Linked DNA regions of Caenorhabditis elegans. The protein of the gene in region 3 purifies or fractionates together with the protein of the main gene of each other region. This does not show direct contact. Each region holds a gene or a part of one and is shown on either strand. Other genes may lie near its edges. The genes, in order: nspg-13, elo-6, irg-7 and copa-1.

Region 1 (7,012 bases), 2.0 Mb from region 3:
ATTAAAGCGTACTATGAAAAATATTACGCTGAGTGGTATCAGTAAGTGTTTTTATAAAAAGATTTCAAAATGTTTAAGCAAACTATTTCCTTATTGCATTACAGAAAACACAATCAAGCTGCCGGCACCCCAGAGGCATCAGCCGCAACAGTTCCTCGAGAAATAAAAATAGAACTGGCTAAGCCAAACACAGCTTCTTTTGGATCAGCGACATTGCAACCCACTGTGAGTCATTTGCCTCGTCTTACCCAAATCATCTCTCTTTTTTTCTGTTTGAACACGACATCACTGTCAAACATGGGTTATCATCAATGCTATCGTTTTAGAAGCTATTAAAATCGAAGCCACATATTTTTATAGGGAATTTCTTCACCGTCCGCTGCAGCCGTAGAGCCGACAAAAGAACAACTGGACAAAGTTTGCGAATACGTGGGCAAAATATCCAAATCATTTGGAATCAAAGACCTTGTCGGATTCGCCAAGAACAATTGCCCTCTGGTGCAGAGCTTCCATCCAGCGGTATATCTCTCGAATTTATAGTCTTTTTGCATTCAAGTATTCTATTTTCAGTCCACCTGCGAGCAAATCCAGCATCTGATGAGTTACTGTGAAACAGGAATACTTGTAACCAACCAATGATCTCATACATCTTCCCAAACTGTGTATTTCTACTTTTGATGCCATGTTTTGATCTTTTTATTGCTAAATGTCACCAACTTCCCTGACAAATGTATTCTCTACCTTGTCCACAAATAATGAGATTCCATGACTTTTTTTCTAATAAATCTGGAACTGTAACAAGTAATTACCAGCCACGCCTTGTTTCCTGGCGTCATTTTAGGACTGAAAAGAGTTTTCGTCATTTTCAGAGCCGCTCCCTTTTTCATTTTCCATCAAAACTGAAAAAAAAGTGATAATGCAATTTGAAAAAGGGTATGACTATCATAATAAACGAAACGATAAACGTGCACATACACGCGTTAAGGAGAAAAAGAGGTGGGGAAGAGAAGGGGATGGTTGGCAAACCCATAAAGCGAGCCGGCCCTCGAAAGGTGGAGATTCAGACAGAAGTGCCAGCGGCAAAGTGATAACGGGAGACACGACTTTGCACTACGCCTGCTTCCCCGCGAAATGTGCTCTACCAATTATTGCCTGGCTGTTTTTGTACTAGTTGGTAAGATTCTTGACAGATTCTCTGTATCATGGAGCGCTTTTAATCGAAATTCTAGTAAAAACTAGGCACTATTTATTTGATTACCGATTTTTCAAAAATTCATAGTTCAAATGTCAATTGCTCACAACGATTTATCTAGGCACTCTCTTTTTCAAAATTTCGTTCAATTCCTGATTCTCGCATTCTCATTGCCTTTACCCCATCATTTACAAGTATTCAAAACTAAACAAGACCGTTCCACAGTTATTAGATTGGCAGAATTAAGTCTTGCACTAACCGGATTGCTTTTGCTTACTTATCATCAGTTTTGATAACGAAAAATTCCACGTGTTGCCCGGTAACGCCTAAATACTATTATGACTAAGTAACTTTTGCAAGATCGGGAACGTTCCCAAAATGAAATCTGCACAAGTATTAGACTACTGTAATTTCCTAAATCTAATGTGATTGTTGGTATTAGTTGCGTCACAACTAGCGGCGGGCATTTTCTTATCAAAAAGAAAATGTACGGTGGCACTGGATACGACTTTTAGAAACCAAACATTCCAGGCTCGATTATTTTTCAACCTATTAGAAGTTCTGGGAAAAAACTGAGAGACATGACCTTAAAAAATAAACCAATGAAAAGTTTCAGGCGTTGTGGCGGCACAAAACCCAAGTTTAACGGCATGCGATATCAATAACCAGCTAAATGTTTGTCAGAGTCAGTTCAATCAACTTTTGGGATTTGATGGTAATGAAACTGAAAAATAGAATTAAGCACAAAAGTTTTGGTGTTTCAGCTTCTCTCGGTGCTGCCAAATATCAAGACTTGAGAAGTGCCATTGAGCAGTCGTATGCCAATAACCAAGCATACGGGCTTCTTACAACTTGCGATGCCTTCAAGCAGTACAAGCAGTGCTAGTAAGTGACATAGTTTGCAATGTTGTGAGATTCACAATGTGCGACGGGAATATCTCAGTCGGTAGTGTGGTGATCGCAAGCAATCATGAGACCACTAGTTCAAGTCCTGCCTTTCCCTAGGATCACCCAACCTAGCTTGGGAATTAGAGGAATCCACTAATGGCTCGTGGCTTGAAACTAAAGCCTAGTGGGAGTTTAAAAACGGAACACCCTTTGATCCTTTAATTTTTACATCTCAAATCAACTGATTTATAGCCAACCAAAAGAACAGTTCTACGCATGTGCTCAGAACCCATACGGTCTTCTAACTGGAACCAAGTAAGTTCTCAATTCAATATATACTGTAACAGTTTTTGTCTGTTCTTCAGCAACAACGGCGCCCCACTCACACAGGATCAGGCTAATGGATACGTAAAAATCTGGAACCAACTTGATTTTGTCTGTGGTGCTGGATTCTCGAGTAAGATTAGCAATTATACTGTAATACTGAATACTAGAATTGAATTTTCAGTCTTTGCCAACTCTGAAGTTTGCGGCTCTTCTGTCTTTAACAACCAGACAGCTGCAATGAGACAGTGCGACAATGACTTCAACGTGAAGTCCATGGCTGACCCAGCTCAAGCTTGCGCGTAAGTTTTCAAGTTTTGTTTCCAATCAAAAAGAATAATGAATAATCTTAACTTTCTAGATACGTTGAGATCGCAGCCAACTGCTACTTCCAACTGTTCTGGAACGCTTGTAAGAAGCCAGAGATGGCCTACTGGGGTTGCAACTACGAGCGTACCGGTACCAATCTTCTCTTCCCACAGTGCTCTCAGATTTTCTGCACATGTAGGTTTTCAGAATGGGATGGGGTTTAAATAATGTTTATTTTATTTTCAGTCCACGAACGCGTCTGATCGTCTTTTGTTTAATCATCTCCATTTTTTGTTTTGGTCAAAATGTTTTATTTGAATTCACATTTTTGGGAATAAATCTATGTAATTTAATTCATAATTTTTTAATTTCAAAAATTTGTTTTCGTTTGAAATGCTTCAATGCATTGAATACTTCTGACTTTGTGTGTGTGTGTGTTTTTTTTTGCAAAATTAAAAATACATATTTGTGCTCACATTATGCTTTCAGATGTGGCAAGACCGGTGTTTGCCATTTCTTGCGTTGATTCTTGGATTGTCAGGTAAGTAAATTGAAATTAAAACTTGTGAAATATTTGTTTTAATCTTATTTTTTTATTCCAGGAGTCCAATCAGCCGGTCTAAACTGTGACTCGACGGTTTATTTTGAGTGCCAAACTGCTCTCAATGCGGTTTTGAGCATCAGCGACCCACAGCCATGGTTTGACCCCGAAAACTTCCGCAAGGAGGCAAGTTTTTAATACAATAGTTTCCACGCTTGCCATTCCATGAAATGATAACTGAATAAGGTGATATGACGAAGGGTGTGCATAGTGAAATGTGAAATGTGAGGTTTAGAACGTGTCGATGATAACTTTTAAGTCAATGGGATTAATTATGTCATCATGATTGTATTATAATCTGATTTTTTGATTATCAGAAAAAAGAGCAAAACACAATTATTGATTAAATTTAGGTGGAGACAAACTACCAGGCTCAAGGACCCAGTGGAATGCGTAAAGTTTGCAAGTCAGTACTTCACTAGATACTCTCTCTCGAATCCTGAATATAATTCCAGAGCTTTCCGCGAGTTTAAAGTTTGCATGGGCTCTGAATACGCGAACTGCATGTCTGCGGTCCATTTTGTTTCTGTATCGGCCACTCCATTCAACGCTTATCAATTTGTTGGACTGTTCAACCAAATGCACTTTGTCTGTGGAGCTGGATTGCAAAGTATGAATTTTTATTGTCATTTCCCGACGCGATGTCGGAATTGAATTTTGTTGAGTACACAATTACACATCTTTTTGGCATGGTATGAAGTTTCTAGAATAGGTGGAAAACACGGGGAGTGTCGAAATCAAACTTTCTGGGGCTTGCTGCTGTGGTAATTTATACACATTATGAGACTCTTAGAGGAATTTCTGAGTTATGATTAGAATAGGCATGAATACTAGCACATATTAGGTTTAAAAAAAACATTCAAGAGACGCAGGAAAATATGATATACATGGGAAATAGGTCCATCGCTGACCACAACCGAAGTCGGCTGCGCATTTACTATAAATTCCTAATTTGCTCAGAGATCAGAAATCGATTAACACAAAAATAGCGCCTTATACAGACTAATGGATTCCAACCGTAACGAGGTAACTTTCTTCATTTCAGCATACCTCCTTAATGAGGGCTGTATGTCAACTACTTGGAGAAGCCAAAGTGATGTCCTGAGACAATGCCGACTAGATTATGAGGTGAACAGTGACGTTGACGCAAATCAGGCTTGCACGTAAGAAGACCATCGGGTATTATTAAAAAACGCCAACCAAACTTACAGACAAGCCAATAAGTACTTGATTTGCTTCGAAACTCAGTTCAAAAACAACTGTGGTGAAAAATCAAACGATGCCATGTTCTGGGCTTGTGAATACTCAAGAGTCAATGTTTTTACTCGATTCCCTCAATGTGCAGCTAGATGTGTTTGTAAGTGAAACTTGAAAATTGTGAAATCTAGTAAAATTGATTTTGTTTTTTTGCAGTGCCATATAGCGGAGGAATCATCGGATGAGTCGAATAAAACGAAATGATGTCAGATACAAACAAATTATTAACTTTTTGTCATTCAATCTTAACTATGTATTATCATTTGTGATAAGAATAAATTTTTATTACTGAGAAAATGCCATCGGTATAGTATATGACAATCTATTGGTGTGGCGATGGGGAACTTCATGAAAAGTTTTGAAAAAAGGGTTTTGAAATAAATATTGCCAATAGCTTTTTTGGGACGTTTTCAACATTTGGTATATTAAACATTTTGGTAGGACAACAGATTATAAGCAAATTATTATTGAAAAAAAACTATTTTTTGACTGTGTATCTTTTATAAATTGTTTTACTTATTATGCAATATTTGAAATAAAAAATTAGTTTTTTTTTCATTCGTTTTAAAATTTCACCGTCAAATTCAAATACAAGGTTCCGAAAATACTTTTTCCGCTTAGCCCATTTAATGCAATAATCAATGTCTTTTAAGCGTACAGGATTATTGATAATCACTTCAACTGATAAGGACTGCAATTCTTAATCCCATAAATGAAACATTTCCCTAGCTTTTCCGTTCCACGACATGCTGTTGAATGTATTGATTGCGGTGTTGGCAAGTAAGTTCAAAATGTACCCCCAGATTGATTGACCTTTTAAGCATGTTCAGTAGCACCAACAGCTTTTTGTGCATGCGCTCCTTCAACTACAGGTACATGCACTCCAGATTTACTTCAGTGTTGCGGGCTACAGCTCAAATCTGATCTAGGCTTGTCAAACTGTTATGGTAAAGCTTTTATAACAATTTAATTGAATGAGCTATCAATTTTTGAGGAATTCTTGCTTTCGAGCCTGAATGTCACCGTCAAGAAATTGAAAACATGTACATCAACGGTATAAGTGGTTTGTTCAAAGTTTGCGAGTTCGTTTTTTCATACTTACATTGTCTTTTGCCCATCGAAAAAAATTGATTTCAGCGCTTTTAACAAGTACTATGAATGTCTTGGACCAGCACGACGTGACTGCACCAGCATTAGTTATCACGTGAAAGCAGGTCTTCGACTTGGGTAAGTTGGCACAATTCATTATTTCTGTTAATCTTACCAAGTTTTCAGAGATGCCGTGCAAGTGGTGTCAATGTACAAACAATTCGGATTTGCGTGCGGAGCTGGATTTGAAGGTAGGTTTTCAATAATTTTTGAGCAACAAAAAATTTTAAATGTTTAAGGATTCTCCAACAACGATGTTTGTATGTCGAACATTTTTTCCACAAAACAAACTCAGATCAGCGATTGCCGTGCCACATTTGCCAAGAATTTGTTGGCAGATTATAAGAACCACTGCATGTAATGAAATATGATCAAAAATTTACAACATAATTAATTTTTAAAAAATCTGCAGGTACTTCGAGCAATATACCGGATGTTTCAATGCATTGTTCGATCACAGTTCCTGTAACTCTGAGAGCTCTTGGTGGGGATGTGAATATGCACGACAAGCTGGTCGAGCTGTTCTGCACGATTGCAGTCTTCAATGCTCAAGTAAGTCCAAAACAGATTAATGAGCAATTTTTATTTTTTCAGCATTCTGAACGCCGGGAAGAAATGCAAATGTTTTATCAATTTTGTGGTATTTCGATTTTGAAATAAAATATTTCGTATGTTTCAACAAAAAAGCTAAATCTAAAAGAGATACCATCAAGTTGAAATAATTTCCCATCCAAAAAAAATTAATAAAACTTTTATTACAAAACAGTACAATACGAAATGTTATTGAATTTCGTAGAACCAGATCAAATTACATATTGCGCCACGTTGTTCTAACATTATTCGTAAAAAAATAGTGTGAAAATGTAAAAACTCATTTAATTTATCCGATAATTACAATCATTTTAGCTGAAAGTGCTTCAAAAATGGTTGGAAATTGCCAAATGATGAATCGAATTTTCCAGCTTTATATTTCCACAATTGATATCTTTCAGGCAATTTTTTTAGCACGTTTATTAATGTTTCAGCTAACGTCGATGTTATTTTCAAGTAAATCAAACAACATTCTGTAGTTCGGCACTAATTTTTTTAATGAAAAATGTGGGAAAAAATAATGCAACTTTTTTTGTAGAATTGCCGAAAATAAATGCCACCCACCCCTGATCATATATGCATTGGCAGGCTAAAATGAATACTTGGTACAATTTCAGAACATAACTTTTTTGTTGGTTTTTCAAAATAATTTTTTGGTCTGGTTCCAGTAAAATTTTCAAAAAAAAAACTTCAAATTGTGA
Region 2 (7,144 bases), on a different chromosome or scaffold from region 3:
ATTATGAAAAATCTAACTTTTTTGGAGTGTTTTATTATGATATTTGGTTGTTTTGGATCATTATAAGTGCATTTAGACAAAATCCCCACTGGCGCTACTCCACCTTTAAGGTAAATTGGACATCAAACTCAATCAGTCTTAATGACTTATACACTTTATGTCGTGAATATGATGGAGCAGAATCTCCATTATTCACGACTTTGATAATTATTGCATAATTATAAACTCTACAACGGACGCTAGCAACACCGAGCACATCTATCACCATTGCTCAAGGGACAACCGTGCAGTCGATACATAAAAGGAACAACCACTTGAACCATTTTCGCCGTGAACTCCGGAGGGATGCATACAAAGAGGAAAGGAAGCTGACAACAACAACATTCACGCCATGACCTTGCCACGCCGCAATTACGAACAGCTCAACACGTGGACTATATTGCCAACCTTGGAGGGACTACCCGAATCAGCAAAAAAACCTTATATTTTCTGAAGATCTTTTTGAATATTTTTACCAGTTTTCTTCAAAAAATAATTTATTCCCAGCTTTTCCAGCTAACCGATTGGTGATTTTTCGTCGTTGAAGAGATCGATCAAGCAGTTGTGACTTAAGACAATTTTGTCGTAAATATGCCACATCGCGCTGAAGTACAGTATGGTACCAACAACGAAGACGGAAAAATAACGATAAGAGGCGTTTGGAATCACGGGAACGTCTGCTGGCTAGCATGCTTGGTACATTTCATCAGCAGAATCCCCAATGTCCGTACAATTGTAAGTACAATTGTTAGCAGTATAACACAAGATGTCAATTTGTCAACTTTGGATGCTCTAAAAACTAGCTGAGGTGAGTAATTGTGTATGAAAATGTTGTTTTCAATTAAATATATGAACTTATAGGCCGTTCATAATCTGTCGATAGCTACAAGGAATATCCCCATTTGGAATATACAACAAGACGCGGCAGATATGATGCCAGTTTCATTCGAGTGGATAGTGGATATAATGCTTGTTGCAAGCAAAAATTCGAAAAGCAGCATGGAAGCTTTAAAGGAATTTGGACAAGTTCTATTCCCAGTTGTGGGTGGAAACTCATTGATACCTGGCCGAGTGTTAGGAGGAGATAGAACACCACTGATCATCCAAGTGTCAGTTGGTTTTGAAACCTTATCAACGGCATTAGCAGGATTCGGACGCTTCATCTATCTACCATCAATGATATTTGTTGAATTGCAAAGAGCTCACCAGTTACATGCGCATTATCCATTTTCGAAAGGATTCAATTTCAACAATCTTGGAATAATGCAGACTAATTTTTCAAAGCAACATGAAAAACGACGACTCGAAATGACCCATGTTCTTCAAATGTTCAATGGACTTAGAATGTTGGTTATAATCATTAAGAACTTTAAAAATGTATTATTTTCAGCCAACTATCGACGATCTTCTCACAAGCTGCAAAACAACAAGCTGATTCTCTAGAAGAACAGATGCGTGAAGATATCAAGAAGATAGCAACATTTGATTCATCTCCGGAAGCGACGGAAAACAGCTTCTCTGTCGAAGAAGAGGATTATAGCTATAAGCTGAATGGTGTCATAATTTTTGAAGGAGAAAATCGGGACGAAGGTCATTTCTTGTTCAGTGAATATACTTTGACCGAAACTTTTTTCACTGTTTCTAGAAGTCTAACAAACTTCATTTTTGTAGAGCTCACTATTTCAGTATAATTAACCAGCACGAGCTTACAGTTGGATTTTTTCTATCAAATTGTATTTAATTTATTTATTGCTAAAAATTTACTGTTTCAAAGCCAGTTTAGAGAGTGCATCCACCAATTCGTTCAGTAGGCTGATCTTTAGAGCATCCAAAGTTGACAAATTGCTATCTTGTGTTATACTGCTAACAATTGTACTTAGAATTGTACGGACATTGGGGATTCTGCTGATGAAATGTACCAAGCATGCTAGCCAGCAGACGTTCCCGTGATTCCAAACGCCTCTTATCGTTATTTTTCCGTCTTCGTTGTTGGTACCATACTGTACTTCAGCGCGATGTGGCATATTTACGACAAAATTGTCTTAAGTCACAACTGCTTGATCGATCTCTTCAACGACGAAAAATCACCAATCGGAAAAACATAAATTTTTTAATAAAAAACTTTTTTTCATATTGAAAAAGTTATAGGTTTCAACATAGGCATAGGAACGAAAAAATCTACCTGCCTGACATAAGGTAGTTACCATACTTTGTTTTTAAGATAACAATTAAAATAATTGTATTCTACTAAACCTTTATTATACAAATCAGAACATTTAATAGAAAGTGTAAACTACCCGGAAAAAAAAGATAAATTATCTCTATTCTAATATTTTATTCAATTTTCTTTTCAGTCTTCTTCTCTGCATTAAACTTCTTGCCACCTCCCTTGATGTATGATTGATAGTAGAAGTTTCCGAACAGAACGACATAAGAGATTTCCATGAGAAGGCAGAACCTGGAAATATTGCATTTTACTAATTTTATGCTGTTTCAAAAGTATTGTAAATTTTCTACAAATTTTAGTTGTTCTAATACATATGTAGTGTCCACTATCAAATTTCCTTGAGTTGCTTGGTAACAACAAAAAAAACTCATAAACTGTGATATTTAGCAAAATGTTTTCAATTTACAAAATGTTGTCGATTAATTATTTTAGTGTCAAAGCTGTATAAACTCATGTTCTGAAATAAATTACAGCAGCCGACAACGACAACATTTAGTGAAATGGTAATATTTTGCTAACTATCACAGTTAAAAAAATACATGTTTGAAAAACTAAAGCAAATCACCAAAAAAAATCAAATCTAGGCGGAATATTAACTTGCATTGTATAGTTTCGTGTTACACTATGTACTAAAAAAAGACACTACATATTGGACAAAAACCCACCAATAATATCCTGGAGTTGAGTCAACAGATTGTCCAGTAACTGCCAAATATCCAACGTGGAAAAGAATGAAATGAGTAATAACGAATTGAAGAATTTGCATTGTTGTAATATTCTTGGCAATCCATGCTGGAACCTTGACACCAAAAGAACGAAGCATATAATATCCATACATAATTGAGTGAACTGAGAAATTCATCCATGTAATCCAAGTATTAAATCCCAAATTAGCTTCAAATGACATAAAAGCATAATTCATTGTAAGCACATGATGATACCAATGAAGGAACATCAATGGCTTTTTACGAAGAATAATAAAAAGTGTATCTCCGAATTCAGCAACTTTTGAGAGAACGAAAAGCCATGTGAACATTCCAGAAAGTCCATTATAAAAGTCTCCGATGTGAATGTAAGATTCGAAAAATCCACGGCTGAAGAACTCGTGGAGAAGTCCAAATGTAGTGGCAAGTGATCCGAGAGTTGAGAAAATAGCAAGACCCGCATTCCAGAGATTCAGTGGTCCCGTGAGCTGGAAATAAATTAGTGGGGTTTTAAGTGGGTGGATTGGTGGAAAATATAATTCCCGTTTCAACCGCAATTTTTATTTTGTAGTATATTTCCACTGTTAATTGAGAAACGATCACAATTTTCTTTTAAAAGTTATCAAAGCAGTATTTATAAAAGTTTTTGTTTTAAAATGGATAAAAGCTAAACTTTTGATTAAAAAAAATTGAATTTTCATAAAATGTTTACCGTTTCAAAGAATCTATAGACTCACATCGCATTTCTGGCCCCACTTTCCAGTTCTAATTACCTCCGAATAGTTAAGAAATCACCAAAGATGTACTGTTTCAGACAATCTATTTAGAAAGTAACATCAAATAAATAGTATTTTGTATCTGGTGGCATTAAAAGTAAGAAAATAATTACTGTTTCAGGAAATATTTAATTGTGTGATACAAAATGAGTTCTAATCTACCAGCAATGTATTTTCAATTAATCAAAAAATGGGTTCTTAATTATTTGCAACACTAAACTGTTCAATAATAAAATTTAAATTTTACCGAAAATTTACTGTTTCAGAGAATCTACAAACTTACATCAAATGGTTTTCGGTTTGTCATGACAGCCTTGAGCCCAAAAATAACGACAACATATGCCATTGAGATCCAGAAAGCAGCATACTGAGTCTGTGCAATATGCTTTTTTGAGAGCTCATGACTGAATGGAGCAGTTGTCAGCACCTCAAAGAATGAGACTTCTCCCTGTGGCATTTTTACCTGCAATTTTAAACTTAAAAAAAGGAACTGCCATATGAAGAGTGTGGCTCAAAGTAAACTGCTAAATAAGAACCAGATCTAACAGGTGGGGCTTAAGATTACTGTAGATGGGTACAAGGTACAAGTCTCTAGACTAACATAAGAATACAACAAAGCAAACATTTTGGCTCCAAGAGCCCGAAAGTCACAAAACACGGTCATCACCAACTCCTTTTTATACTTAACCATCTCGTTTTCTGCGTCTCTCCCTCTCTCTCTCTCTTGTAGTGAGATACCAAATGGTGGTCTGATTTTTTTTGTTGGAAAAAAAGGTAAAAAGGCGGAGGCAAGTGATTTTTCGAAGAAAATTCGGAAATTATGGGGCGATGAAAGAGGCGGTAGACGGGGGAAAGAGAGAGAGGGAGAGAGTGGAAGACATTTGTTTATAGGTTTTTTGAAGTGAAACGATTCAGAACACACTCAATGTACGGTCAAAGAATTGTAACTCTATTGATAAGATGTTTTTTATTAAAAAGTAATTGAAAAGTGCCTGAAACAGTAATTAAATTTCGTATATAAATGGTTTTTAATATATTTTTTCATGATTTGTGTATAATACCCAGTAACGGAATTTTGTGATTTGTGCGCCAAAAATACTATACCAGGTCTTGACACGAAAAATTTGAGTTTAATGCAAAAGGCTGTGCGCCTTTAAAGAGTACTGTAATCCCAAACCTACGTTGCTGCAGATTTTTTTAAAAATCGATGTGATTTGCTAAAATTAATGTGTTCTTATTATTATCATTGAGAGATTTTTTAATGAATACAAGTACAATTAATTTTTCCCAAAATACTATGAAAAATCGATAAAAATTAAGTTTTTTATTAAGAAGAGTTTGAATTTCCAGTATTTTCTGAAATAAAAAATTGTATTTTTAATCTTTTTAATCAAAAATTGTATTCTTTAATCTTTAATCCTTTTAATCCCATGACCTGGTATTCTTGGCGAAAAAATTACAACATTTTGTGTCTGGGTAATATCCAGTCGTGAATTCGTGAATTAATTCGCCAAATCTGAAGACTCCACTTCAAAAGAACATTTTTCTCTCGATAGGTCTCGCCACGATCCATTTTGTTGGCGACAGGCGCGACTGCTCTTTCTTAAATGAAAATTGAGATATTTGTTCGCTAGAATGTGATTTTTTAACAGAACATACAAATATATGGTTTTCGTGGCGAGACCAATTTAAAGTAGCACGCGCCTTTAAAACGACTACAATCAACCTGAATACTACATAAAATTGTTTCAGACACTGCAATAAAAAAGCTTTTTCTGATAAATTTTGTGACGTCTGACATTGAAAAGTAGAATAAACTGTGTTTTTTTTCAAAACTTGAAACCAACAATCAACAATCGCCACGTTCCCTTGCAAACCACATAAATTTTAGCAAAGAACCTTGAGAAAAGTTATCGAGGTCAGCATGAATGGTGAATACAAAGAGAATTTCGAGATTTACCGAAAGATACTCGGAGCGGTATCCAGCAGAAGAAGAAAAGAGAGAATCCTTTTTAGATTGGTCAATTGTTGAAAAATTCTGAAATGCACTGGAGTATCTTGAAAATGGAGTCATGGGAAACATGCTATTTAATAACACCAGTCGATTTATTTATGAATGACTGTAATTTGAATAAAAAAAACTAAGGATACAATAATGGAGCAGAAAGGAAACACTCAAGACAATAAAACATTTTACACGATGATATAGAACATGCCAAGTTACAGAATGAAGCTATAATCTATTGAAAGCTAGGAAAAAAATTATTTACAGGAACGAGAATATGGAGACGATCTGGTTTTGCTGCCATCGGCTCCTCTGCGAGTAGTTGGTCTCGTCTGGATAGGCGACATTTGTGCTTTCTCGAGAGACTCCTACAATTTTAAATTTTTTGTTTATATGTAAAAAACTAATAAACTAACAGTTATATCATCCACCGGAGAAGTCTCGTTTCCTCCTTGATCGTTGACAGATTCAGTAGTGGCCTGACTAAGACTTGTGTCACTGTCCTCCGAATTAAACGATTTATACAGCACATTCACTGGATTGAATCCATGCCTATCGGAAACTTTGTCCAGGTGTCGCTTGAGAGTCAACTCTGCTTCGTATGAATCGGACATCAACATGCTCCAGCATTCCATGTTTGCAGCGTGGCATCCTGGGCGCAAGTGACCAATGGTTGCCGATTGGATATCATCAGGAAGTGTGTAAAAAGTGGAAGAATCTTCGAAGCCATCAATGCGGAAATTGGATGGAGCATCGTTTGTGTACTCCAATCGAAAATTAGCCGTGAATTCTTCTGGCAACGGTTCGAGAACTTTTGTGCAGAGGAACTGAACACTGCGAACAATCGTCACCATTTGATCTCGTACGCTGTCGCCACCCTCGTATACAAGTTGAGCAAGCTTTGCGAAGTGAGGATCTTCCTGGCCATTCTTGTCAGTGCTCAGACGAGCAACCACGCCGCCATTCTCAAAATAAATGAACTTCATAGAGAAAACTTCGATGGCTTCAAGATCTCCTTCATTATTTGTGATCACGAGGGAGACTTCTTTCAGAAACCCATCCTTTGTTGCATCCCCAGCATTTCGAAGTAGTTGAGCGATTTGGTTAGACCGTGGGTTTCTGAAGCACAGCGTCATGCATTTCAGCTTTTCTGAAAAAGAACATTTACTATAAAATGTGATAAGAAAAACATTTACCAGTGATGTAATTCTTCGTGAAATATTCTTGTCCAAGAATGTTACGGTTCCTAAGAACAGCCGAAAACGCGACGTAGATTGCTCTGGTCATGAAATTGGATGATCGATCCGGGTCGCTGACAATCCTTGGGAAAAGTTTGGACCATTTCTAAAGATGAAAAAAATTACAATGGCCATAAAACCATGAAAAAAACCTT
Region 3 (7,726 bases):
AAAACCCATTATCATCTAAAATGGGCCTTTTTTGACGTGATGGTAAATATGATAACACAGACAAACGGGCTAGTTCGTAGTTTTCCATTTTCGTATAAATTCGAAATCATTTTCAACTTTCGTGTCTCATTTTAAAATTTAAAACAAAACAAAAATCTGAAGTTAAAACTTATTACTATTTTTTAAAAAATTTCTCACTCTCCCTTTTACCTTTTCACCTCGAAAAGCAGCTGCCAATGTGCGAAGAGAGCGAGTGTTGGCAGTGCATTGAGGTGAGGCAGAGCTTTGTGGGTTTTATACGCTTTTTGCACATTCAATTTTCTATTTGAAGATTGATCTTCTTATCTCGTAAATGTATAAGCTACTGAATTATGACTTTATAATTCAAAATTTTTATTTGCAGACTTATAATAAAATTCAAAGAAAAACACCTTACTTTGTCATTGAAACTCAATGAAAAAATGGTTTAAACTTCTTCAATTAAAATTTCAAATAATTTTACATTTTCCAACTTATTAAGTTGAAAGTAAAATCCAAAAGTTTATCTTTTTCATATGTACTTTTCACGACAAACTTCCTTAATGAAGTTCAACACCAATAAAATTTAATTTGAAATCTTTCGTGTTCGACCGCGCCCATCATTCTTTCCAGGTGATTCGTTTTTTGTTAGACGAATCAACCTGACTCATACATATGTCTTGCAATAAAAAAATTTCTATGACGTTATTAAACATCAAACATAAATAAATGAATATATATTTTAATTGAACTTGTAAGGGATTTAAGTTTTCGTGTTAATTTTTTTTTGAATTCTTGTGTTAATAAACTATTTTTTATACTTCCGATTTTATTTTAAACAAAAGCCACCACGAGGTGGCCGTCGTCACCTGCCTCTTAACACATGTGTTCTCTTCTCGTCTCCTCTCTTTCCCGGCTAGTCACATTAGTTTCGTATGTACAAACGACGCTCCGCAACGCTAAACAGAGGGCGATTGTTTTGAATAAACACAATTTGCGCGCGGTTATCCTCCGTGTTTTACTAACCAATGCTCATTGTTCTTTCTGTTTCTGCTAGCCTCTTATTTATTTCGGTGTCATGTAAGTGATTTCTTGTCTCTTCTTCAATTCCTTCAGTTTTTTCTATATTATTCTTCAAACGTCAAAACTTTTTTTTCAGCCACCGCAAAATGAACGATCAGCAGACCAACAACGAGTCAGACCACACGATGAGTAAAAGTGCCAAGAAAAGAGCCAAGAAGCAACAGCAGCAGAAAAGAGCATCCGAGAGTAACGATGAAAAGAATAGCCCAACAAAAAGCGATGCAGAAAATACCGAAGCAGTGAGCACACCCGAAAAAGTTTCCGATTCAGTTGAGCCAGAGAAGCAGGATCAAGTTGATCAACTGGTGCCATTGATTAATAAATTTGACGTGAATGGAAAAGCACTGAAAACAATTGCCGGTCATGGGACAGTTCATTTGGGAGAAATTACGCCGCACAACATTTTGGTGAGAATTTATTAATTTGTTGAAGGAAATGTATGTTATGAAACGAACTAGAATTCATAATATTAAATGAAACCCATATTTTCTCGATCAATGTGAATATGATGTAGCCTTAATTTTTGCGTCTTAAAAAATTGAATATTACTCTTGCACGCAGTGAATGTGAGCCCACTCAATAAAATTCTGTTCCGATTTATATATATTCTGTGAATGGCTAAAAAAGCAAACCTAGGCCGACTTTGCTGTTCATTTTTGAAGCTTTCAACATTGCCCTGTATTCTGTACCTGTGAAAATTGTGTAAATTGGCATAGAATGAGCTGTTAAAATACGTTGTAGCCTACCGAGCATGTCAGACAAGTAGTTGAACTCAAAGTTTGCTGAAGCACACTCAAAGTTTGCTGAAGGTCTTCACTCACTCTTGAACCAAACAGATGATTTTAACCTCCACCTTTTAAATTTAATTTAGCCTTCCCATTTTCATCAGTAAAACGCGATTTCTGAAATCCTATTTGTTTTTCAAACCTCAACAAAAAATACACGAACTTCATAAAACTCGAAACTCGATTTTTCAATTTACTATAATTTCAGCAACTGAAAAAGCTCAATGAAGATGTCTTCCCAATTGCCTACAACGACAAGTTCTATGTGGAAGCTCGATATTGCGGAGAACTTGGACGTCTTGCCTACTACAACGATGTCGTCGTGGGCGCCGTGTGCTGTCGCATTGACGATATTTCAGACGAGAAGTCGTTGTATCTCATGACACTTGGAACCCTTGCCGCCTACCGACAGTGAGTTTTGAGTCAGATCAAATTTACCTTATCAATGACGTTTTTTTGGTACAGTTCTACCTGAAAATGACGGTTTTAATAGCGTTAATTATTATACCAAGGGCGTTTTACGAGGTAATAAAATGTGCTATTTCAGAATCGGTATTGGTACAATTCTCATCGACTACGCATTAAAATTGTGCAATAAGATGGAAGAAATTAAGACCATGTACTTACATGTGCAGGTATCCAGAAAAAAGTGGATCTGAAAAAAAGTAATTTTCCAGGTCAACAACAAAAATGCGGTGCAATTCTATGAGAAGCATGGCTTCACCAATGACGGAATTATCGAGGACTACTATCGTATTAGCCCAAGAGACGCTTACTTGCTCATCAAACGAATCCGCCACTAAACTAGAATAGCTCATTTTGATATACAATATCTGAACTGTTTCCCTTTTCAAAATTACTTTATTTTTATCATAGCGACTGGTGGCATCCAAGCCTGGTCTGCAAGTTGGATCTCTAGCCATTGACAATTGCCAGCATGGTTGTTTTGTCTTCTTTCCCATCTTCAAGCATAACCGTGCCTACCCGTATGAAAACCATGTCTGTTTGAGATTTCCCATTTTTTCTATGCTTTATTTCATGTATCATCATTTTCAATTCTATTGACTTTTTGTTTTTTGGTAACTCTGGTAATTCGATTGTGAATTCTAAATGTCGAGGTTCTTTTATTGTCCGAGCAAATTTTATGTTTTGAATTTTGACTCATAAAAATGTAAGGCGTTTTATTGTTAACAAGAACATGAAAAATCAGGAGAGCCCGGGGGAAAATTTTATTATGCCCTTATGCATAGCATTGAAAGATAAGAAGTTGCCACGATGTTACGAGCGTGCCCAACCCATTTTCTTATTTAACGACTTTGATTGCTATAAGGTTTTCTTGATAGTACTTTTAGTCGCATTACTCCAGTGCTTCTTTTTCATTTTAAGCTGTTGATAATACCCCTTCAAGTTTGCTTCCAAAAAAACTAATATTTTTTATTTAGAAATGAGGAACTGGGTTTTGATTGCGGCCCTGGCCGTGATCTGCCTGGCGACTGAGCAGGAGCTCAGTCACAAGGACAGAATACGCGCGGTTTTGAGATCATGGAGTCCGGCATCGCAGAAGCAGTTTTTCGAGCCAGTCAGAGAGCAAAAGTACAGGACTATGGAAGAAAGGGTTATTTTTGTAAGGTCTAGCAAACAGGTGCGATTCGAATTTTTAATTTCAGTTGGACACCCATCATATTTCCAAAAGATCCATTGCTGAACCACACGTTTTGGCTGGAATGGCTACTCGAGGATGCAACAAGCCAGGGTACACCGGTGAAACTTGCCAATATCGTGAGTTTTAAGATTTATATTTCTAAAATGTTCCATGACGCAGAAATTTTTCAGCCCTCTGTTCTGCTCGCAACCCGTACATTCCGAACAACGACGGATTTGATGACATTGCAATTGATGCTTACAATCTGGCTAATTGCTCTGAATCATACATCGTCGTCGTTGACGAGACGATGCGGAATATCAAAATTGAAGTCGAGACGGCGTCAGCATTGAACCCAACATTCTATCTTCAAGCTGAAAATGGAGATCTCATATTCCCAGACGAATCCATTCAACTTCCAACAATGTTCACTGCAAATTATTTGCATCTGCCTCCCGGACAATATATGCTTGGACCACGAGCCGACACCAGCGAGCAGTTTTGTACAATGATGATGTCATCCCGCAGTAGCATTCATGTTTCCGGTGGATTCACTTCAGGAGATCAAGCCGAGCGTAGTGACTATCCAAATCTCAAGTTTACATATTTCGATACTGAGTCGGTTGTTGCAATTCATGCTCAAGGTTTGGACTTTCCTGGTCAAATCCAAGCAATTGGATTTACCGGTGCCGAGAACCACATCTCAAGATACATTCCAATGACAACCCGTTTCAACTGTACTTATCCATACATCTTGGAGAGATACACTTGCAGAAAAACCAGCAATAACGATGCTGGACACAATCTCATTCAAGTTCGATTGAACCAAAGGTGCTAAACATTCAAATTTTTGTTTTCAGGTGGAGGGTGTGACTAACTCTGGCTACAAGTTCCGTCGTATTGTTCCTTACCAATGCGTCTGTGAGTTTCTTTGTAGTGTATATAAGAAGTTTATATAAGACTTTTAAGAAAAAGTACCTTTTCAGTACCACCAGTAACAACTACTACCCCCGCTGTCCCGACAACACCTGCAGCACCGATAACTTCTTGTCAAAACGGAGGGCAGTTGCTTACTGACTCTAATGGAGTTGCATATTGTTATTGCTTTGGACTTTACTCTGGAAGTACTTGCTCGCAAATGCTCTGTGCTAACGGAGGTACAATTCATCCTTGAAATTATATATTTTTTATAATAACTATTAAGGTTTCTTGCCGACTCCAACCAGTGACCGTTGTCAATGCCCAGAAGGATTCAGTGGCTTCCATTGCCAGAATAGTATGCACTAGTAAAAATTATCTGTTAAAACATAATAACTTTGCAGTCTTGTGTACCGACATGTCAGGCTTTGACTTCAACGCTGAAAACCCAACTCTCACCCTTGTCATCCGATCAAGAAGCCAGCTCTCTGCAGTTATTGAACAAGCAACTGAGTCTGTTCAAAGTATTGTTGATCTTCTCGCTAGTGAACCTGGATATCTATCAAAGTTCATTGTTGTTCTTTTTGATAACGGAAGTGAGTTTTGATCTAAAACATATTTGACATGAAAGTGTATTATTTCAGAGCTCTTGGTGAACAGACAATATGATTCATGGGACGCTGCAATGGTCGATCTTACAAAAGCTATCCATTCCGCTCCAAGCGAAGGAGGATGTGATGATGTTGTCATGTCTGCTGTTGCGTAAGTTCACTGGTATGTAATAATGTTTAAAAATGCTAATTCATTACAGATCTGCACTTTCTCTCTATCCAACAAACAAATCCCCGATCTATGTGATTACGGACGCCACTCCAAATGATAGTGCTGAGAAGGAAACTGTGTTCCATCTGGAATCTTATTGGAGAGCACCGGTAAATAACATGAAAGCAAATAATGTTGACTCTATTTAAATTTCAGATCTACTTCATTTACGTTCAACCATCTCCAGCCGATGGATGTAACTCATCTCCAGATAACTCTGCATATAGAGATATGGTGGACATGGCTGCTCGTTCAAGTGGTAACACTTTCTATTTCAGCGACAGAAGCACTATTTCGACCGTAAGTCACTTCACTTTATATCTCCCATATCAATTAACTTTTATAGTTCTTCTACCGACACATGCTTAACACCTTGTTCCGATCCCAACTTGTTCTTTCCGGAGATTACTCACACTGCTCCAGCCAGAATCTGTACAAGTCAGCTGCCTTTGATCTTAGCGTTGACTACGTTACAATTGTAGCCACTGGAACAAATTTGACTCTAGTTGTGACAAGCCCAACAGGACAGTATCCAACTTTCAACACCGCCTTTTCTGATGGTGTGAACTATGTTTGGACGTATAACTCGCCAGTTGCTGGTCAATGGTTCTTCTCTATCAGATCACTTGAACCAGAAGCAGCTTGCACGTTTAAGGTTTATCAGAAGAAGTTCAACTTTGGCGGACAAACTCAATACAGCCCCGACTATGATATTTTCTGGTCATTCGCTTCTACTCTTACTTCGGCAGCAGGAGTTCTACGTCAGCCAGTTCTTGGATTTGATTCATCTCCAGTTTTCCATGTTACCAACTACCCTCAGTTCCTCTCAATGGACCGTGTGCATGCCAATCTTCAGATTTATGCTATTCGTGACGGAGTTCAAACCGAGGTTTACGGATCAAGTGGAATGTACAGAGATGCCTGTGAATTCAACTTCTACTTCCCACCATTCACTTGCCGTGTTCCAGAAGAAGTTCTTTACTTCAATTTCTTTGCTCGTGATAATAATGACATGGCTCTTCAACGTGCCGGAACTATGTTCTGTGCTGCCGTTCATCCTACCCCGCCACCAGATCATCAATGCCAAAATGGAGGAGTAATGAACCCATCGAACACCACTTGCTTCTGTACTCCGGAGTTCACAGGAACGTACTGTCAGAACATTATTTGTTACAATGGAGGAACAGCTAGCGGAGATCATTGCGTCTGCCCACCTGGTTACGCTGGTGAGAGCTGTGAGATGGCAAGATGTATTGAAACAGGACCAAATCCTGAATTCATCCGTTATGGAGTTGACATGGTGTTTGCCGTTGAAATCACTCAGAATTCTATTGCTTCACTTTCCATGCTCAATATCAACTTCCAAGAAATTCTCCGCGACGTTCTCATGCAAAATCGTGGATGGATTAGAAACTTTGTTCTGGTCGGTTTCAACTCTACATGGGGAGGACCAATTGCTGAATCACCAGCTGATAACCTCACTGCAATCACCACTGCTCTTCGCACTCTTGCTTCTTCAGTTCCAGCCGATACTGGATGTACTGTCAAACTTTGGGATGCTTTGAATTATGCCATTTTCTCCAGACAAATGGCACCGGGATCTTTTGTAGAAATCTTCCAAACCACTCCAGAAGATGATACTGATACTCGTTCGCTTGGTCTTTTCTATGATATGTCTAGAACAATGGAACTGGTTCTTTACGGTTTCTTGACTTCAAATCCACGTTTACAACCGGAAGGATTTGTTTGCAACGCCACCGTCGAAAACTATTATACTCTTCTCGGAATTGTCAGTGGATCTACCGGAACTACTTATAGCCTGCAAGCAAATGAAATTTCTAATGCTGTCAGACTCATTCCACTTCAGTTCTCTAACGGACAAGTCACATTCAACGCATTGGATGATTGTAGACACGACGATGGACTTATTACATACTTCCCTGTTGACGCATACACTCAAACAATTCAAATCCAAACATTTGGTTATGGAACAACTATCCAAGTGTATACTGGTGCTGGTGTTATGGCAGAAGCTTTGGAACTTTTCTACGATGACTTTACCGGTCAAAGCGTGTACGAAATCAGAAAGGCTTGTGACGAAGGCTGGGAGCCAATTGGACAATACTGTATCAAGTTTATGGCAACTGTAGAAAACATTCTTCCGATGCCACAGGCTAAGGCTTTCTGTGCCTCAGCTGGTGGATTCCTCGTGGATGATCTCACTGACGACAAGAATGGCTTCTTGAAATCAGTAGCTGCAAACACTCAATTCTGGACCGGACTCTTCAAAAACAATGATGGACAATTCTATTGGGATCGTGGAACAGGAATCAACCCGGATCTTCTCAATCAACCAATCACATACTGGGCCGATGGTGAACCAAGTGACGATCCAACACGTCAATGTGTATACTTCAATGGAAGATCGGGCGATGCTAACAAAGTCTGGACAACTGAT
Region 4 (10,432 bases), on a different chromosome or scaffold from region 3:
ATTTTGTATAGAAAATTGGCCCTGTCAAGTGAAAAAAAAAAACCTTCAGCTTCTCCTTCTCCAACGATCCTTTCGCCTTTTCCTGGCAATTGTTTGATGCGGTGACTTTCAAATTTTCCCTTGAACTTGGCTTTTTTGCCACACTTTTCGCTGCAAAAAAAGTTTCGATGTTAGAAACTAGAGCTTCCAGGCAGGCATCGAAACGCCTGCCGCAGACGAGAGGCAGGCCCTGAAAGTGCGCCTACCTCCCATGGAAGCTGCTCAACAGTAAACTCTTACCTGTCTTGTGATACATTTTACTAGAATCCCAATTGATTTTTTTGAAGTCGGATTGTGAAATAACGGTGAAATGCCGAGAAATCGAGTTTATATACGAAAAAAAAACTAGAGAGGAGGGGGGGGGGGGGAGGTTTCGGGGTTACGTGAAATTTGAAAAATTGCCGGAATTGAAAATTTCCGGCAAACTGACATATTCGGAATTGAAAATTTCCGGCAAATTCGGCAAATTGCCGGAATTGAAAATTTCCGGCAAACTGGCTAATTTCCGGAATTGAAAATTTCCGGCAAATTCGGAAAATTTTCGGAATTGAAAATTTCCGGCAAATTCGGAAAATTGCCGGAATTGAAAATTTCCGGCAAATTCGGAAAATTGCCGGAATTGAAAATTTCCGGCAAATTCGGAAAATTGCCGGAATTGAAAATTTTCGGCAAATTCGGAAAATTGCCGAAATTGAAAATTTCCGGCAAATCGGCAAATTGTCAAAATTCAAAATTTCTGGCAAATTTTGGAAAATTGCCGGAATTGAAAATTTCCGGCAAACCGACAACTTATCGAAATAAAAAATTTCCGGCAAACCGGCAATTTGCTGAACGGCTATCTGAATTTCAGGCAATTTCCAAATTTTTAAATCTTAAACATATAGTCTCAATTAAAAACTTTATTCATTGTTCAATATTAGTTTTTATTTGGAGCATCTGGCTGATTATCTGGATGAGCCAATTTGAATCTAAAATCTTCCGCCAGAATCTCATTAATTCGAGTAATAGTTGGATATTTGGACATGTCGACTTTGTAGCTGGAAATTTCAAAATTTTTAATTTAAAAATTCAAAATTTTGAAATAACCTACATTTTCGCATTATAAATTATCGATGGCAAGTTGATATCAGCAATTGTAAGCTGATCTCCAACACAATATTTCCCAGAATGCTTCTTCAAAAGTTCTTCGAGAGCTAAGAATCCCTTGTTCACAAAGTGATTGCACCACTGAAATACATTTTGAACTATCGGGAAACGCCTCTTGGAACCTATTGCGGTTTGATCTACAAAAAATGCGGAAATTTTTTTCACCGATAAAATGTGACGTCAGCAGCACGTTCTAGAAGTCTGCGTCTCTTCTCCCGCATTTTTTGTAGATCTAGGTAGATCAACCCGACATGGGACACTCTGACACCACGTGAGAACCCACAAAGTCACCGTATCCCGGCTCCTTTTCATTGAGCATTTTGTGGATATTGATTGCTTGAAGTGGCTGAATACTTGCGACTATCTGAAAAGAGCTCGCTTAGAGTTGTTAAAGAATGTTAAAAGCTCACATGAAGTGCGATAGCTCTTGAATACGATCTCTTATCCAATTCTTTTGGAAGGAACGGAGGATCCGGATAGGCTTCATCCAAATATTCGATTATTGCCAAGCTTTCTGTCAGTGATAAGCCATTTATCACTAAAGTTGGAACTTTTTTCGCTGGGTTGTGCTTGACGAACTCTGCATTGTTCTGAAATACAGCTATATTTCTATGGAAGTGGGAGTAGGGCAGGGGTGGATGGCAAATTGCCGGTTTGCCGGAAATTTTCAATTCCGGCAATTTACCGATTTACCGTTTGCCGAATTTTACCGATTAAAATTGAAATTCTGAAATTTCCAGAAAAAAATGTGCAAAACCACAAGTTGCCGAAAGTTTTCGGCAAATTGTGTTTTTCCGGCAAATCAGCGATTTGCCGTTCTGCCGAATTTTGCCAGAAATTTTCAATTCCGGCAATTTTCCAATTTACCGGAAATTTTCAATTCTAGCAATTTGCTGGAAATTTCAATTCAGGCAATATGCCGAATTTGCCGAAAATTTTCAATTCCGGCAATTTTCCAATTTGCCCGAAAATTTTGATTTTCATTAAATTTTCGATTTGCCGGAAATTGTAATTTTGGGCAAATTGCCGATTTACCGTTGCCAAAAGTTTTCGACAAATTGTGGTTTTTTCCGGCAAATCGGCAATTTGCCGCTAGGCCGAATTTTGCCGGAAATTTAAATTTCGGCACTTTGCCGATTTGCCGAAAATTTTCAATCCCGGCAATTTGCCGCTCTGGCGAATTTTGCCGGAAATTTTCAATTCCGGCAATTTTCCAATTTGCCGGAAATTTTCTAACCTTGGATTCTTCAGAAAATAAGTCGATTGGCCGGTATTCGTAGTCGATATTTTTCAGAGCAAGTGCTATAAATCAGTATTTTATAGAATTTCCAAGCTAAAATTACCGATGCGAACTCTCCAGGCACACGACGAACGCCAATATGAATATAAAATCGGTTTTGCCATGGAGTTAGAAGCTTCTAAAGAAGAAAATTGAAATATTTAAGCAATAAATGACATTTTGAGAAGAAATTAAATATGAACACGTGGGAAAAATCTTCAAAAACCCTAATTTTTCAGTTAAAAACTACTTTCTCCGAATAAAACCTCCATTTTCCTCAATTTTCAGCACTTTTTTATGTCAATTCCCACTTAAAATTCCCCTTTAACGGTCATTTTTCCTAAACTGTGCAGTTTCGCGTCGCCGTGTTTGCACACATTCCGTTTGATGCGCAGGTTTCCACGTTGTCCTCTTTTCTCCATTTTCTGTCTCTTTTAACGTGGATTTACCGATTTTTATCTCTGAAATTCTTAATTTTTATGGTATTTTTCGTAGTTTCTTTATCAATTTAATCGAAATTCCAAGTTTTTTCATTGATTTTTTGCATTTTTGTCTGTTTTTTTTAAACATTCTTATATATCCACGTGTCATTTCCATAATTTCAGAACCTTCATTCACGCCGAGGAGCAGTTTTTGACTGGTTACCGACTATAAATCGGATATCATGTCGCTCCTTATCAAATTTGAATCAAAATCCGCTAGGGTTAAAGGTAAATATTTTGGTTTTTGGCATTATTTTTCAATAATTTCCCAATTTTCCAGGAATTTCGTTCCACCCAACTCGGCCATGGGTGCTCACATCGCTGCACAGTGGAGTCATTCAACTCTGGGACTACCGAATGTGCGTTCTTCTCGAGAAGTTCGACGAGCACGATGGTCCAGTGAGAGGAATTTGCTTCCATCATGATCAGCCGATCTTTGTGTCTGGAGGAGATGATTATAAGATTAAAGTGTGGAATTACAAGCAGAAACGCTGTATTTTCACACTTCTCGGACATTTGGATTATATTCGTACCACTTTCTTCCATCATAAGTATCCATGGATCATTTCTGCGTCCGACGATCAAACGGTTCGGATTTGGAATTGGCAGAGCCGAAACTCGATCGCCATCCTCACCGGACACAATCACTACGTCATGTGTGCTCAATTCCACCCAACCGAAGATCTTGTGGCTTCTGCCTCCTTGGATCAGACCGTCCGTGTTTGGGATATTTCTGGACTTCGGAAGAAGCAAATGCCTGGTGGAGGTGCTCCAAGCCGGCCAACCGGAGGGCAACAAGCTGAGCTATTCGGGCAACCTGATGCAGTTGTGAAGCATGTGCTAGAGGGACACGATCGTGGAGTCAACTGGGTTGCATTCCATCATACCAATCCAATTCTAGTCTCGGGATCCGATGATCGTCAAGTCAAGATTTGGCGTTACAATGAGACGAAAGCCTGGGAGCTCGACTCGTGCCGTGGACACTACAATAACGTCTCATCTGTGATCTTCCATCCAAATGCTGACTTGATTCTTTCCAACTCGGAGGATAAGTCGATTCGTGTGTGGGATATGCAGAAGCGTACCAGTCTTCACGTTTTCCGACATGAAAATGAGCGTTTCTGGGTTTTGGCCGCCCATCCAAGCTTGAACATGTTCGCCGCAGGACATGACAATGGAATGGTCGTTTTTAAAATTCAAAGAGAACGCCCGGCTTATTGTGTCAGTGATAATTTGGTTTTCTATGTGAAGGGACAACAAATTCGCAAGCTCGATTTGACAACCAAGTGAGTAGTTTGATGCCAAGAAAAGTGTGCCGCAAAATGCATTTTTGCACAGAATTAGCGTTTTTTTTTTGCGAAAAAAAGCGTGCGAGAGTTGCGAAAATGCATTTTCCGGCGCACTGAATCATGTTTTTGTGGAGTCTCAGTAGTTTTTAAATGAAAAACTTTAAATGTGCCCCATTAAGCGAATTTCGTATTTAGAGCCTCCAAAAAATCGGAAAAAAGGCGTAATTTCAATAGCTAAATTCTCCAACTTCCACTGAAAATAGCAGAGTTTTTTTTGAGATTTATCAAATTTTTAGCTTTTCAAAAAATGTTTTCTGCTTTTTACGAACAAATCTTTTGTTAAACAATGAAAATCGAATTTAAAATGACTAAAATTAACTTTTTCCGTCCACTGGTTGTGAAATGGGTTGAAATTGAAGAAATCAACGGGATTTTTCTGATTTTCTGAATATTTTTCTATTAGAAATCGGTTTTAAACCATTTTTTTTTACTAAAACCGATTTTTAATAGGAGAATATTTAGAAAATGAGAAAAATCCCGTTGATTTCTTCAATTTCAACCCATTTCACAACCAGTGGACGAAAAAAGTTAATTTTAGTCATTTTAAATTCGATTTTCACTGTTTAACAGAAGGTTTGTTCGTAAAATGCAGGAAAAAAATTTTTAAAGCTAAAAATTTGATAAATCTAAAAAATCTGTTATTTTCAGTACGAAGTTGGAGATCTTAGCTAAATTTAGAGCTTTTCTCCGGAAATTTTGAGGACTCTCACTACAAAATTCGTTATTTTTTGTACATTCAGAGGGGATGTACAAGCAAAAACCCCTCTAAAATCAAATTTTCAGCAAGGATGTTGCTCTGTGCAAGCTCCGTTACCCACAACCATTCATGCAACCATACTACTCTCTTTCCTTCAATCCTGCCGAGGGAACCTTCCTTCTCACAAGCCGTACTCACAATAAGGATCTATGCGCCTTTGAGCTGTACAAAGTTGCCAGTAACTCTGATGGAACCACTGAAGCTGCGTGCGTCAAGAGCACCGGAATCAATGCACTTTGGGTTGCTCGTAATCGTTTTGCAGTTCTTGACAAGGCTCAGAATGTGTCGTTGCGTGATTTGACGAACAAGGAACTTCGCAAACTCGAGAATATCAACACGGCTGTCGACGATATTTTCTATGCCGGAACTGGAATGCTCCTTTTGAGAAATGATGATGGGCTTCAACTGTTTGATGTTCAGCAAAAGATTGTGACTGCTTCAGTGAAAGTGTCGAAAGTTCGTTATGTGATTTGGAGCAAGTCTATGGAATTCGCAGCTCTTCTTTCAAAGCACACGCTGACCTTGGTCAACCGTAAATTGGAGATTCTGTGTACCCAACAGGAGTCGACTCGTGTGAAGAGTGGAGCTTGGGATGATGACTCGGTATTCCTCTACACCACTAGCAATCACATCAAATATGCAATCAATTCTGGAGATTGTGGAATCGTTCGTACTCTGGATCTTCCTCTGTACATTCTGGCTATTCGAGGAAACGTGCTCTACTGCTTGAATCGTGACGCTACACCAGTTGAAGTTCCAATTGATAATTCTGATTACAAGTTTAAGCTTGCTTTGATTAACAAACGAATCGATGAAGTTGTCAACATGGTTCGATCCGCAAATCTCGTCGGTCAATCCATCATTGGATATCTCGAGAAAAAGGGTTACCCAGAGATTGCTCTTCACTTTGTCAAGGATGAGAAGACTCGCTTCGGGTTGGCAATTGAATGTGGAAACCTGGAAATCGCGTTGGAAGCCGCCAAGAAGCTCGACGAGCCAGCAGTCTGGGAGGCTCTCGGAGAGACTGCTCTTCTTCAAGGCAATCATCAAATTGTTGAGATGAGCTATCAACGAACGAAAAACTTTGAGAAGCTCTCGTTTTTGTATTTTGTTACTGGAAATACGGATAAGCTTGTCAAGATGATGAAGATTGCACAGGCTAGAAATGATGCTCACGGACATTTCCAGACAGCTCTCTACACTGGTGATGTTGAGGAGAGAGTTAAAGGTAAAAATGTGCAGCTGGATTTCAGAAGGGGGCAAAAGTCAAAGTTTTATTGATTTTTAGCTCCTCTTTGCGTATTTTTTTCGTGAATTTCTGCAAATTCTAGACGATTTTGAAATTATTGAACCTAAAAATGGTCCAAATCTACCGAATATCGTCATGAGATTTCTCAAAAAAAAATTTGGAAATCTACCAATTTTCAGCTAAAATCTCATATTTTGCCAACTTTTCAGTTTCGCAGCTGACGGAACTTGATTTTTATTCAATTATCGCTATTTAATACGTATTTTGGTCGTTTTAACGAATAAAAGTGTGATAGACGACCAAAATATGTATTAAAAAGTAATAATCAATGACACACTAAAGTTGGCAAAATTTGAGATTTTAGCTGAAAATAGGTTTTTTTCCAAATCTCAAAACCGCCATAACTTTTTTTGTGAGTTTTCAGAAACTTTTCAGGATTTTTCATGACGAAATTCGTTACTTTTTGGGTCATTTTCAACAAAATAAAGTATAAAGTTAATTTTTCAGTGCTCCGAAACTGTGGACAAACTTCTCTGGCCTACCTCGCCGCAGCCACTCATGGATATTCTGCTGAAGCTGAGGAGTTGAAGGCTGAACTCGAGAGTCGTCAGCAACCAATCCCACCAGTTGATCCAAATGCTCGCCTCCTTGTCCCACCACCACCAGTTGCTCGTTTAGAAGAGAATTGGCCACTTCTTGCCTCGGCTCGAGGAACTTTCGATGCACAGCTTCTTGGATTAGGAGGACAATCTGCTCCAACTAATGTTGGCGGTGTGAAGCCTGCTGCTGCTGCCTTTGCTGTTATGGATGATGATGTTAGTTTATTGATTTCTGAGCTATCTGAGCTATAAAATATTAATTTTTGCAGGATGGTGATGTTGGAAATGAAGCATGGGGAGATGATGAGTATCTTGTCGGAGAAGATGGTGAACTTGATGTTGATGAAGGAGAAGGACCAGTTGATGGAGATGAGGAAGGTGGATGGGATGTGGATGATGATCTGGCTCTTCCTGATGTTACCGATGATCAAGGTGGAGATGATGATGAGGAAGTGGTTCCTAACCCAGCTCCAGCTGTCTCATCGGAATGGCCGAATGTTTCTCGTCTTGCTGCTGATCATGTTGCAGCTGGTTCATTCGGAACTGCCATCAAGCTTCTTCATGATACAATTGGAGTCGTTGAAGCAGCACCATTCAAGGATGTATTCGTGAAGGCTTATGCAGCTTCTAGACTCTCACATCGTGGATGGGGAGGACTCGGACCAGCTGGACCAGTGTCCATTCATCCGGTTCGTAATTTCCAGGAGGATAAGAATCATCTTCCAGTCGCTGCGTTCAAACTTTCTCAACTTGCAAAGAAACTGCAAAAGGCTTATCAAATGACGACGAATGGAAAGTTTGGAGATGCTGTCGAGAAACTGCGGGAGATTCTTCTATCTGTTCCACTGATCGTTGTGTCTTCGAAACAAGAAGTCGCCGAAGCGGAGCAGCTCATCACAATCACACGGGAATATCTTGCAGCACTTCTCCTTGAAACTTATCGAAAAGATTTGCCAAAAACGAATTTGGAGGATGCGAAACGCAACGCCGAACTAGCTGCCTACTTTACACACTTTGAGCTTCAACCAATGCATCGTATCCTGACACTGAGATCTGCTATCAATACTTTCTTCAAAATGAAGCAAATGAAGACTTGTGCATCACTTTGCAAACGTCTATTGGAGCTCGGTACGTGCTTGCGTTGTTGATTTTTTTAAATTTTATTTCTAATTCTTAATTTTTTTTTCCAGCTCCAAAACCAGAAGTTGCTGCTCAAATCCGAAAAGTGCTGACTGCCGCCGAGAAGGATAACACTGACGCGCATCAGTTGACCTATGATGAGCATAATCCATTCGTCGTGTGCTCTCGTCAATTTGTGCCTCTTTACCGTGGACGTCCACTCTGTAAATGCCCGTATTGTGGAGCATCGTACTCTGAAGGGCTCGAGGGAGAAGTGTGCAACGTGTGCCAGGTTGCAGAAGTTGGAAAGAATGTTCTTGGGCTCCGAATCTCAACTCTGAAGAGCTAAAAGTTGTGAAATATGATAATTTTTTCGTTTTTTGTGTGATATTAATTATTGTAATTTATTTGCCTTGTTCTTCCACAATTCCCATTGCTTTTGGTCCCTTCATATTATTTTCCCGTTGGGCGGCGGTTCATGTTTTCTATTTAAATTATGTGTTTTTAAAAATTATTTAAACCCCACAGAAAGATTATGATTGCATGCTGGTCTATTTTATTTGAATAAATCATGATTTTTTTACTTTTTTTCATTTATCTTTGGGGTAAGAAAATGTTCTCTAAATCAGTAATTTACATGGAGAAATTTGCTCGAAAAAATTCAAAAAAAATACAGTAAGAAAATTGTCGTAAAGTCTAGGGTTTTGGTATTGCGGACTACGACAAAATGCACACAAACCATTTTGGCACCGGAAAAAGGCAAAAGCCAGGATTTTATCGCGTTTTGGCTCATTTTTCTTGCAAATTTCCATGGAATTCAGTTAACATATACCTAATTATTCAGTTATTTCGAATTAATCAATAATTTTCAGTGAATTTCGCAATTTCTAAGTGGTCCAATGATGTCTGTCCACATATTTCCTTGAAAACTGATTGTTTTATCGGAATTTATTGATTTAAAATAATATATATAATAAAATCTGAATTTTAGAATCATTTTTGACGTGGAAAAGACCCGAAAAATCCAAAAATCACGAATAAACTGAACAATTAAGGTATTAATTTTTGATCCCCCACCCCCAGTTTCTCAGTTTCTCAGCAAAGGATTAAAACAATTGTTCTTCTTCTTTTCCCCCTACAAGAATTTCCTGTGAATTTCAATCGTAAAAATATCGATTTTCTGTTTATTCTTTGGATGAGTCACCGCACTCGCCGATTGTTTAACTAGTGCAGTTCGGCAGTTTTACGTTATTTTTTCACGATTTTTTGGATTCTGATCCTCTAGGTGACTTGAAAATACCGAATTTCATATCGTAATATGACAGAAAAATTTATGGCGGTAAAAAAATGCGGAAAAATTTTCTAATTTTAACGGAAAACTCCAAAAAGCCGTTGGAAAATGATTTTTATTTGATATTGGCATATTTAAATAATTTTTATCCTGTTTTTTAGTGGATTTGGATATTTTAACCCGATAGTTATGTATAACGGCTTAAAAATTGCCAAAATCAGCGAAAAAACGCGAGAAAAATCACTTAAATATGGAAAATAGAACAATAATCAAATAAACCCGATTATCCAAGCCAAAACTGAGTTTTTTTTTTCGCATTTTTGAACTTCAAAATTTCGAAAAAATGGGCTATTTTTAACGAAAATCCCCAATTTTGCAATTTTTTCGTGTCACAGCCGTCGGAAATTGATTTTTATTTGATTTTTGACACATTTGAGTGATTTTATCCTTTTTTTTTCGTGGATTTAGGTACTTTTAGCCGATAGTTACGTATTGCTAAAATACTGGCTTAATAAGTAGCTAAATCGACGAAAAAATATGTTTTAAAAAACCAAAAATGGCAAAATTTTACGATTTTTGCTAAATCTTTTTTTTTTTTGAAATTTTAAATCGTCATAAAATTATTTAGCTAAATTTTTGTTAAACATTTCAGCGAAAAACTCCATTTTTGCCAATTTTTTGTGTCACAGCGGTTGAAAATTGCGTTAATTTAGGTATATTTGAAGCCAAAAAAGGAACAAAATTAATTTATTTGCAAAATTATCAATTTCCGGCTTAAAAACGCTCCAAGATTGGAGATTTCAGCGGAAATTAGCCCATTTTTTCGAATTTCTAAACCGCTAGACTGAAATTCCGTCTTTTTCTCCCATTTAAAACAAAAAAAATCCCAAATTTTTTGCAGCAAGCATGTCGGCCCATCAACTACCGGCATGTGTGATCGACAATGGAACGGGTTATACGAAGCTCGGATATGCTGGGAACACGGAACCTCAGTTTATTATTCCATCTGGTTAGATTTATTGATTTTCAGCCTATTTTTCATAAAATCCAGTGAATTTTCCAGCAATTGCCGTGAAGGACAAGGTGGCGAGCTCGAATTCGCAGGCGATGCGCTGGAATAAC

What was found.
Region 1: the proteins of irg-7 (region 3) and nspg-13 fractionate together in Caenorhabditis elegans (co-fractionation; one large-scale study listed by BioGRID). This does not show direct contact.
Region 2: the proteins of irg-7 (region 3) and elo-6 fractionate together in Caenorhabditis elegans (co-fractionation; one large-scale study listed by BioGRID). This does not show direct contact.
Region 4: the proteins of irg-7 (region 3) and copa-1 fractionate together in Caenorhabditis elegans (co-fractionation; one large-scale study listed by BioGRID). This does not show direct contact.

Annotation. Positions count from the first base shown.
Region 1 is NC_003284.9:5,251,992-5,259,003, forward strand, and holds nspg-13 (DUF19 domain-containing protein), read left to right. Parts: upstream 1-3,202; coding exon 3,203-3,254; intron 3,255-3,315; coding exon 3,316-3,440; intron 3,441-3,667; coding exon 3,668-3,720; intron 3,721-3,769; coding exon 3,770-3,924; intron 3,925-4,359; coding exon 4,360-4,477; intron 4,478-4,525; coding exon 4,526-4,671; intron 4,672-4,727; coding exon 4,728-4,756; 3' UTR 4,757-4,864; downstream 4,865-7,012. Other genes in the region: Y34B4A.10 (aECM cysteine-cradle domain-containing protein), read left to right, coding at 1-41, 105-225, 361-519, 571-639; nspg-14 (DUF19 domain-containing protein), read left to right, coding at 1,132-1,174, 1,809-1,907, 1,957-2,077, 2,333-2,395, 2,446-2,537, 2,589-2,706, 2,766-2,908, 2,960-2,976; nspg-12 (DUF19 domain-containing protein), read left to right, coding at 5,318-5,351, 5,402-5,518, 5,566-5,653, 5,709-5,798, 5,847-5,911, 5,960-6,077, 6,133-6,272, 6,315-6,322.
Region 2 is NC_003282.8:5,384,351-5,391,494, forward strand, and holds elo-6 (Long chain fatty acid elongase 6), read right to left. Parts: upstream 4,210-7,144; 5' UTR 4,204-4,209; coding exon 4,030-4,203; intron 3,925-4,029; exon of another isoform or gene 3,904-3,924; intron 3,843-3,903; exon of another isoform or gene 3,822-3,842; intron 3,748-3,821; exon of another isoform or gene 3,727-3,747; intron 3,580-3,726; exon of another isoform or gene 3,559-3,579; intron 3,459-3,558; coding exon 2,932-3,458; intron 2,596-2,931; exon of another isoform or gene 2,575-2,595; intron 2,498-2,574; coding exon 2,374-2,497; 3' UTR 2,279-2,373; downstream 1-2,278. Other genes in the region: F41H10.12 (CACTA en-spm transposon protein), read left to right, coding at 970-1,385, 1,430-1,730; htp-1 (HORMA domain-containing protein), read right to left, coding at 6,009-6,119, 6,168-6,901, 6,948-7,095, 7,142-7,144. UniProt on the Caenorhabditis elegans protein: Catalyzes the first and rate-limiting reaction of the four reactions that constitute the long-chain fatty acids elongation cycle. Uses malonyl-CoA to add 2 carbons per cycle to the chain of long-chain fatty acids.
Region 3 is NC_003284.9:3,239,229-3,246,954, reverse strand, and holds the start of irg-7 (Protein irg-7), read left to right. Parts: upstream 1-3,318; 5' UTR 3,319-3,330; coding exon 3,331-3,510; intron 3,511-3,553; coding exon 3,554-3,665; intron 3,666-3,719; coding exon 3,720-4,342; intron 4,343-4,388; coding exon 4,389-4,449; intron 4,450-4,514; coding exon 4,515-4,685; intron 4,686-4,732; coding exon 4,733-4,804; intron 4,805-4,850; coding exon 4,851-5,042; intron 5,043-5,090; coding exon 5,091-5,208; intron 5,209-5,257; coding exon 5,258-5,378; intron 5,379-5,424; coding exon 5,425-5,568; intron 5,569-5,614; coding exon 5,615-7,726. Other genes in the region: F40F4.7 (N-terminal methionine N(alpha)-acetyltransferase NatE), read left to right, coding at 1,188-1,508, 2,095-2,297, 2,434-2,521, 2,564-2,689.
Region 4 is NC_003279.8:2,893,498-2,903,929, reverse strand, and holds copa-1 (Coatomer subunit alpha), read left to right. Parts: upstream 1-3,069; 5' UTR 3,070-3,128; coding exon 3,129-3,174; intron 3,175-3,226; coding exon 3,227-4,232; intron 4,233-5,078; coding exon 5,079-6,280; intron 6,281-6,808; coding exon 6,809-7,116; intron 7,117-7,169; coding exon 7,170-8,028; intron 8,029-8,090; coding exon 8,091-8,368; 3' UTR 8,369-8,601; downstream 8,602-10,432. Other genes in the region: pph-7 (Tyrosine-protein phosphatase), read right to left, coding at 44-150, 280-295; gst-43 (maleylacetoacetate isomerase), read right to left, coding at 956-1,076, 1,130-1,266, 1,469-1,549, 1,596-1,775, 2,423-2,487, 2,529-2,589; arx-1 (Actin-related protein 3), read left to right, coding at 10,217-10,319, 10,374-10,432.